2 linked regions of the Drosophila melanogaster genome follow. The protein of the gene in region 1 interacts with the protein of each later gene in a pairwise test. Each region holds a gene or a part of one and is shown in the gene's direction. Other genes may lie near its edges. The genes, in order: CG14362 and CG13407.

Region 1 (3,649 bases):
TAAACTATTGCAACCGCTAACTGCCAACTGCGAACGCTCGACTGAAATTCGAGCAAGATTAAAAGGCAAAGTTAACTCAAAACTCCGTTTCGGATTTTTATGACAAGCGCATGAATCCGTGTGCAATTGTAAGTGCGCCATATAATTTACAGATAATTATTATAATTACAAGTTATTTTCAGTTAACATGTTTGCAGTGGCCGTTGTTCTTGTTGCCGCGTGACTCGCCTGTGGTGAGAATTGTTGTTGCGGGCCAATTAGTTGGTTCTTTTCGAGCTCCAAATATATTTTTGCAATAATAATTAAGTCGTTTTGATGCGATTTAATTTCATTTTTTGTCCACTAATTAGTTTGCTTACGATTAGTTAAACGAGTACGTACCGAGCATAAGACTTAGGCAACGAACTTGAAGCAAACGAATGACTTAGGCAACGAACCCGACAGCAGAGATGACACTTCGCTGGGGATAGTAAATACCTTATCTTTCGGGATGGGGATGTTTGGTACCGTTTGTTGGGAATAAGATAGAAATAGTTATATGCGATCAAGGAAGTGATAAGACTAACATCAAAGATTTAACGACCACATAAAGTGAACCAGCGGATTCTTTTCCTTTGGACGATTTCATTCAACTTAATTAGGGAAAAGTTTCGAGTACCTGAGTCATCTCCCTCCCTCATAACTCTTTGGCCAATTATGCGTTATGGCCGAAACCGAAAACTGAAACTAAAAATACTGTATCTCTCGGCCTTTGGTCATAAATAAGTTCGCCAGTTCAGAAAGCACGAGTGAGTATAAGGAAAACAATCTATGGGCAGGGCCAAACAGGACAGAAAAGAGCCTGAACGGGTTGGTTCGGGCTTGGGTTGGTCGACTGTGGGCTTGGAGCGCGATAAAAATCGCTGGCAATTTGTTAAATTTAACGATTTCGAACCGCCAGCTAACGAAAACTGTGCCGAATGTTGGCCAGTCCGCCCCCGAACCGACCCCTTCCTCTACTTCGACTGTTTTATGGCCAAATAAATAATTAAAATGATGCGTGGTGTTAAGTGCCGCCACGTCGAAAAGTTCGGTGGAGAACAACCAGCAGAAACACCAGGAACATCACCACAGCCACGGCGATATCTGAACCACACGCAGTCTGACCAGACCATTTCTTTTGAAAATTTGTCATAAATTTATCGCTTTCGCGACCGGGTTCACTAAACCCCCAACTTGGGCACGTACTTTGTCGCAGTCCGCGCTTAATTGCTTGTCATGTGGCACACATTTCTGCCGCAAATTGGCCACCAGATATGCGACCATTTGAGACGTGACCCTCGGCAGGCGGACCACACAGCGGTTGAAGTTCTAGGGCCGCCAAAAGTTGTAACAATTTTTCCCTTGGGTCCACGAAAGTTTTTCAGCTGACCTCCAAGTAAAGTGATTTTGATATCAAGTTAAAGGCACACGGCTATATTGTAAATAATTTTTATATAAAGAATCTTTGGTTGCTAAACTGCAAGAGCTAAAACGATACTCATTTCATAAACTATTTTACGCTTTTTTTTTTTTTTTTGAGTTCGTTTAACCTTCATGAAATGGAAAAAAATACCAAAATCGACCGTCATTAAAGTCGGCCCCAACACAAACTGAATCAGAATAACACTCGGAATTCGGTTTAATTTCTGTTTTTAGTGAAGTAATATGCTTTATGAGTGCTCGACTTCTTGCGCACAAAATGTCACTTGTCGCAGCTTCTTGTCTTTGGAGATCTTTTTTTTATGGGTGTACACGATCGTAAAAGACAACTAACGCATAAAATGAGGTCTAGACCCTAATCTTAACAGATCTTGAACGGCGTTTATCAAAAACAAGAAAAATGGGAAATGGAAAATGAAGTAGCAAGTGTCTTATATATTGTATGTGCTTCTTAGTAAATGCTGTCAGTGGAAATTTTCAAGTACTATAATTTTAAGAAATCTGTTTTAATTGGATGGCCCTACAGAATGGGATGTCTGTGTTTGAGGAAGTTCTCCTCGTATCCCTCAGTTCCACAAGAGATTATGAACACCCTCAGGATGAATACAGCACGTAAGAGGTTATGAAGCTGTGCAAATCCAGAATTCTGATATCATAACATTTCCCAGTAAGTCGTAGTCAGATCAAGTATCTGTATATTCGATTCCACCAGTTTTCAGGAGGAGGCAAAGATCCCCCAAGTCATCTGCACAAGTACAATTTCTATTCAGGACTACTGCAACTAAACCCCTTGCTGCCCACCATATTGAACTCCATGTTCGGGAATAAAGTGACAATTACCTTTGTGGATTTCGCTCTGTTTCTGAGCACCTTTCAGGCCCATTCTCTTAAAACCTCCAATGAGCTAAAAAATGTGATGATGGACAAGAAATTAAGGTGTAAGTTCAACAATAAATATGGTCAAATGCGGTTAGTGGTGCTGTTGCTTCTGAGCCATTTAGGAAGCCTATATTACAGACTGTGACATAAGTAAAATATAAATTTTTTCAGTAATTTTCAACATGTACGATAACAACAAGGACGGTCGTATTACAAAGTATGACTTGGTTGTAGTTGTCCACAAGCTGTTCTCAAATCTATTGGATCACGTGCAGATAATGCGCATTGTGAATACCATAATGAAGGAAATGGATCATACGGACTCGAACCAAATAATGTTCCAAGACTTCTGCAAAGCATTCGCAGTCTTCGACATGACCGAAATGATGGTCACCTGGATACCCGAATACCATGGTCGAACCACAGATGATTTGTAATAAGTAATTCGTTTATTTATTCAACTGCACAAAAATTTGAAAATTAAATGTACACATGATTTAGCCGCTGAGAGCCGTTAGAACCGGCGTTAAAAGTTTAAGAACATTATAGAGGGCGGGACTCAACAATTTTAACAAATTAAGATCCCCTGATGAAAGACTTGAAAGTGCGCTCGATAAAACGGACAAATAGGAGTTACTTAAACATGTGGTCCCAGTAGTGCCAGTTAAAGAATCAAAGAGCCCAGCAGCTTTAGATGTACGTATTATTTGCAGAATCAAGATCTTTAAAAAAACAATGTTAACGCCTTTATACATTCACATTGTTAAATGTTATGAAACAAAACTCACAGTTAAAGCCAATATAGATGCGATACGAGCTCGCTTGAAAATCAGCATGATTTTTTGATTTATTCTAGAGCGAAATAGCTGTGCAACTATTAAACAAAACTAAAAACCATGTGTATATATAGACTAACTTCTCAAATTTCACCGATCACGATACCTTTGCCAAGATACTGCCTATCGGAACTATATAGTTCGTGAGCTAGGTTTGATTGGGCTTAGGCAGTTTGAGTTACTCAACAGAATCACATCGATTTCCGGCCACCGAATGCCAAACTTTATGACTCTATTAGGGCGAAATTCGTATATGCGATGTGGAAATGAGGTAAGCCTACAAAATGCCAACCGAAAGCCCATAAACTTTACTACCTTTGACTCCAGCTGATTGTCCATATGTGCGGATATGCCTCTATATAGTCATACTCCCTTTGAGCCGATCTTTCCGGCGCGTTAAAGGAATCTTGGGGAACTGCCTGTTGTATTTTCGCTTAGCAACATAAATAACATTTTATTGGCAATTTGGTTGC
Region 2 (4,524 bases), 8.2 Mb from region 1:
CCCATTTATGTTCTCAAATTTTCAACCCCGCAAGGCAATTGACTTTTCGATATGCTTCCCTTTTTTTTGGAAGAATCAGCAAAAGTCCTCTAGTTTCTTTTCCATAGTTTTTTGCCCAACATTTCCTGTGGGCCAAATTTTTGGGGGTTGGGGCAGCGCGACAAATCAAAGCGTTACAAAGCTGGAAAATGTGTGGAAAAGTTGCAGTGCAATTTATTATATGCTTTTGATTCTGCAAATCTAGCTGATGTTGTTCTTTCTTTTTTGTTTTGCTCCACGTTGTCGCTAGCACTGCGGAAATGTTAAATATTTGTTATTGCAGTCTAATGTTTCCGCTTTACGAAAGACAACAGACAGGGATTTTTCGAGACTGTGCTATGTTTGTGATCGAAGAGTTGTATACTTCTTGTTTAAAAGTAGTATATATATTACAATTAAATATAGTTAGAAAAAGTTAGTGGAAGATCAGAGCACTTGTAGTGTGTGATAACTGATATAAGCAGCACTAATATACCCCATAAAATTCAATTCAATATAAAAATCTTTTCTGGCAATGAAAACTATTAGCCCCAGTCATAAATCTTTAAGACCAAAGGCGTGGATGTGGAGAAGTGGAAGTGGACCCCAACCAAAAGCCGGGTTCGACTAACCGCACAAGGGACCACAAGAACCGAGCTCCATTTGGCTGCACAGACGACAGTGGCAAAGTCTGGGCCAGACATGGCACAATTATGACAATTTCTGATGCATAACGCTGCATCCATAGAGCTTTTAATGCAATAAACAAGCGACTGGAGCGTCATTAACACTGACAGGAATCGGTAAGGGTAGGGAGTAGGAGGAGTGTAGGGGGGGGGGGGTTGATGCCAAGGAGCATTCCCGGCCTTTTGTCGCTCACTAATTGTCTGGCCTGGCCGAAATGTGCAGCGCATGCATGCAACGCAACGCTCCAATTCAGGTGTGTGTCAGTTGGCCGTTGTCGCCACAAAACACTTTGCCGGCAATTGTCAGCTGGCTTTTGGGTACGTGTTACGAACAGTGATGGGAAATGGAAATACTTTCTCCACGGAGTACAAAATTAAATTAAGATACTAAAGATTACCTTTCCTGAAATTCAATAAAGAAGCAATATAGCAAAGTGGATAAAGTAAGGAGCTCTCGTTTAGAATCTATAACTTCTTCTTTTAATAAGTGAGTTACTATGTTTTTTGTAATTTTTGTACTTGTACCTAGTTTAAGTATTGGTACAAATGCTTTGCTCGAGCCGTACCTGCCAACACTGCCATTGAGTAGTTGTTTTAAGGCCGTTGCAGTTGCAAGTTGCTAGTTGTAGCCAAACTCACTTAGCAGCTGACAATGACAGTCGCCTGCCTCTCTTCTTTCCCGCATCACCAGCAACACCACTATCAGCACCACCACGATTACCACCCACTTCAAGTTCACCTGCGTTAATAGCCGCCTGCCAGGCAAGTGTCTGGGAAAGGCTTTGCCCAGTTGCCTAAACGACATTGTCACTTGCGGTTGGTTGGGCGCATCATCTCCTGCTGCTTCAGCCCCAAACTCCAGTTCGTCGTGCTCGTCCTGTTAGTCCTGATCGTCCTGTTTGCGGCTTCTGCAGTCGAGTTGCCATCGGTTTATGGCAGGTTGAGCACCAGCGACAATGAGCCACGCTGGTGCACCGTGTAGTGATAAACATGCGCGCTTTTCGGCACAAATCAATTAGCAATTGAATTTGGTGAACTCAAAGACGGTGAAAATGTCCGACGGCCAAATGACAAATCAACTCAACGTGCAACAGCAGGAACAACATCCGCTGCTTTCAGCCATCTCAGGAAATAATTATGCGTAAGCCATGGTCAAAGGCATTGGGATGTCGACTGTATTTGCCATACAGCCAAATCAAATTAAATTTGATATAATTAAGAAGTGGCACACTCACTCAGTTCCCTAGAATTATATTGTTAATCTGAACTCGCTTAAGTGCTTTTTATATATTTATCAAGAAGTCCTGCTAAACAACATCGTAAATAATGAATTAATTCTTTTTCAGTCATTGATATATGCAAAACTTAAACGCTTTAACAAACTTCTTTCTTCTATCCTACGTAATATTAATAATCGCTTAAAGGAGCCTTGAAAGAGTTTAGTCAGTTGCAACAGGATAAAGTGTGCTCTTTGGCTTAAAGATTAAGTGCTGGAGTGCCGGAGGCAACTGCAATCGCAAACGACCCCTGGCCCAAAAGACAGCCACTGCGGGCGCGGACTGATACCTCAGGCACTTAGCCGGGCTAATGTGGGACACAAACAGAAGCGGCGTCTCGGCCACACAACCACATGCCCAACCCCCCCCCCCCCCCACTCACTCATCCGCTTGCCCGCTTTCACCACTCACCTTCTAACCTTCTCTTGCAGTCAAACGCAGCGTGTGCATTACTATCCCAACCACTACTACCCGAGCCACTACTTGCCGGGCCATTACCACCAAGGACACCAAGGATACCAGGGGCAGCAGGGACGACCACCGCTCCTGGCGGCCGCCAGCAGCCACAACGGTGCTTATGCGGCCACGGCGGCTGGCAGCGGACACTCCGGCTACGGGTAAGCAAAGAACCACCGCTGCACTGAGAGAAAAGCAATGGGATGAACAAGAAAATTCATTCCAAATATACAAAGAAATTAAACTGTTATGAAAAAATATAAATAACTATTTGAAGATGAATATATACTTAATAATATTGATACTAATGAATACTAAAGTTTCGAACTTATCAACCTAAATTACCTATTTCTTCCTGTGCACTGGCCATCAAAGTCAAACCATAACCCCAATTCCAGTGCAAGTTCCGCATCTAATGCCAGTTTGAATTTTGCAGCGGCATAGAGCCATCCGTGGAGTACGAGCTGCAGCATGACCCACCCTCGGGTAGCTTCTCCTCCTTTCATCCCAGTAGTGCGGGCAGTGGGCCCGCATATCCATCTGCCCACCATCCGCCGGCTGGTCCACCACCGGCTCCTCCGCCCACCAAATCGTCAAAGAAATCGAAGAAGAGCAGCGGTTCGGTGATGAACGCACTAACGCTGCTCTCGTTCTTCTTCTTTGTTAACATGCTGCAGAACTGCCTGAAGGATCATATGGCTGACATGAATCCCACCGTGATGGTGCTCACAGCCAGCGGCACTCGCAATCGTTTCAACAAATTAGCCGAGATGAATTCACGCGAACAGACCTCGACAACGGCCACCGAATCGGTAACGGCATCGGCAGCGGCATCATCTTGGAATCATCAGGCTGCTTTAGTTCCGGCCGTCGAGCCAAGTGTGCCGCCCTCCATTGTTACGCCCACGGTGGTGCTGCAATCGCCCTACAGCCGTCACACGGAGATGGCCAATAAGCCGCCCCAACGCCAGCCAATGGAGTACCAGTCGAACCCTCAGCAAAATCATCACGATTATCGGCCCCACAACGCGAATGATGATGCTTATAATTACGGGCAGCGCCGACCTCCGCCTCAGACCTTCTCCACCTCCGATGGCGGCGATTTCTATCCTAATCGCACACACATCGACCACTCGTCCCGGCCCGACTTTGAATCGGAGTCGGGCTCCGATTACTATCAGCACCACTATAACCCGTATGCTGGCACAAACTCCCATCGGCATCCTTGGTCTTATGGCAGGCAGCGTTACTCATCCGCACCGTGGTCTTCAGCTTCGTTGGGCGCTCAGTCGGGCGTGAGCTCTTACTTGGATAATGCCCAGCGACGGCAAGGTGATGATGACGATGGTCATGGTTATGGCTATGGCTATGGCCACAGGGATAGGGATCGGGATAGGGATAGGGATACGGATGCAGATGGTTTCTGGGATGAGGACGAGAATGGTCAGCAGCGGCGACGCAGCGATGCTTTCTATACTCGCACACGCATTAATTGAATGCAAGAATTCCGCGCACATTTCTATGTTGCATGGCGGGGATTTGCTGCATTAACCCATTGCACAAAAATGGGGTGGCATAATGTGGATGGGCAAAAAAAGATGTGAATGGATTTTTTTTTAGAACAGCTAAAGCAGCGTTTATAGCTTATGGCATTTTACATTCTGTAAATATTATCCACGCTCTTTCGTTGTAGCTTAAAAATACCACATTTAACTTACTTGTATTATTGATTTTCATATAAAGTTATAATACGATATAAGAATTATTTTACATTACCTTTAAAAGTTGTATATCATAATGCACGACCGAGGGTTAAAAATGCTTAGCTTACATGTATTTATAATTAAAAGCAAACAACGTGCATAAGAGCTGACAAAAAATGAATGGAAAAAGGCGATGAGGCGGTGAGGCAGACAGACACACCCGGCAAGTTGGAATCGTAATGAAAATAAATGCTAATTTGTTGCACAACAAATTAAAAGTGCCCCCAGATTTTGCCTGGCGCTTGGCTAAGACTTTATTTTATTGCCTGCCACAGCAACTAAGTTGCAATTTTCCGGACTCACACACCCGTTTGTCTAATACAA

The links.
Region 2: the proteins of CG14362 (region 1) and CG13407 interact in a two-hybrid assay, tested with the Drosophila melanogaster proteins (one large-scale study listed by BioGRID).

Annotation. Positions count from the first base shown.
Region 1 is NT_033777.3:13,853,789-13,857,437, reverse strand, and holds CG14362 (uncharacterized protein), read left to right. Parts: upstream 1-1,983; 5' UTR 1,984-1,988; coding exon 1,989-2,073; intron 2,074-2,129; coding exon 2,130-2,399; intron 2,400-2,511; coding exon 2,512-2,777; 3' UTR 2,778-2,839; downstream 2,840-3,649.
Region 2 is NT_033777.3:22,101,658-22,106,181, forward strand, and holds CG13407 (uncharacterized protein), read left to right. Parts: upstream 1-1,756; coding exon 1,757-1,845; intron 1,846-2,412; coding exon 2,413-2,598; intron 2,599-2,873; coding exon 2,874-3,933; downstream 3,934-4,524.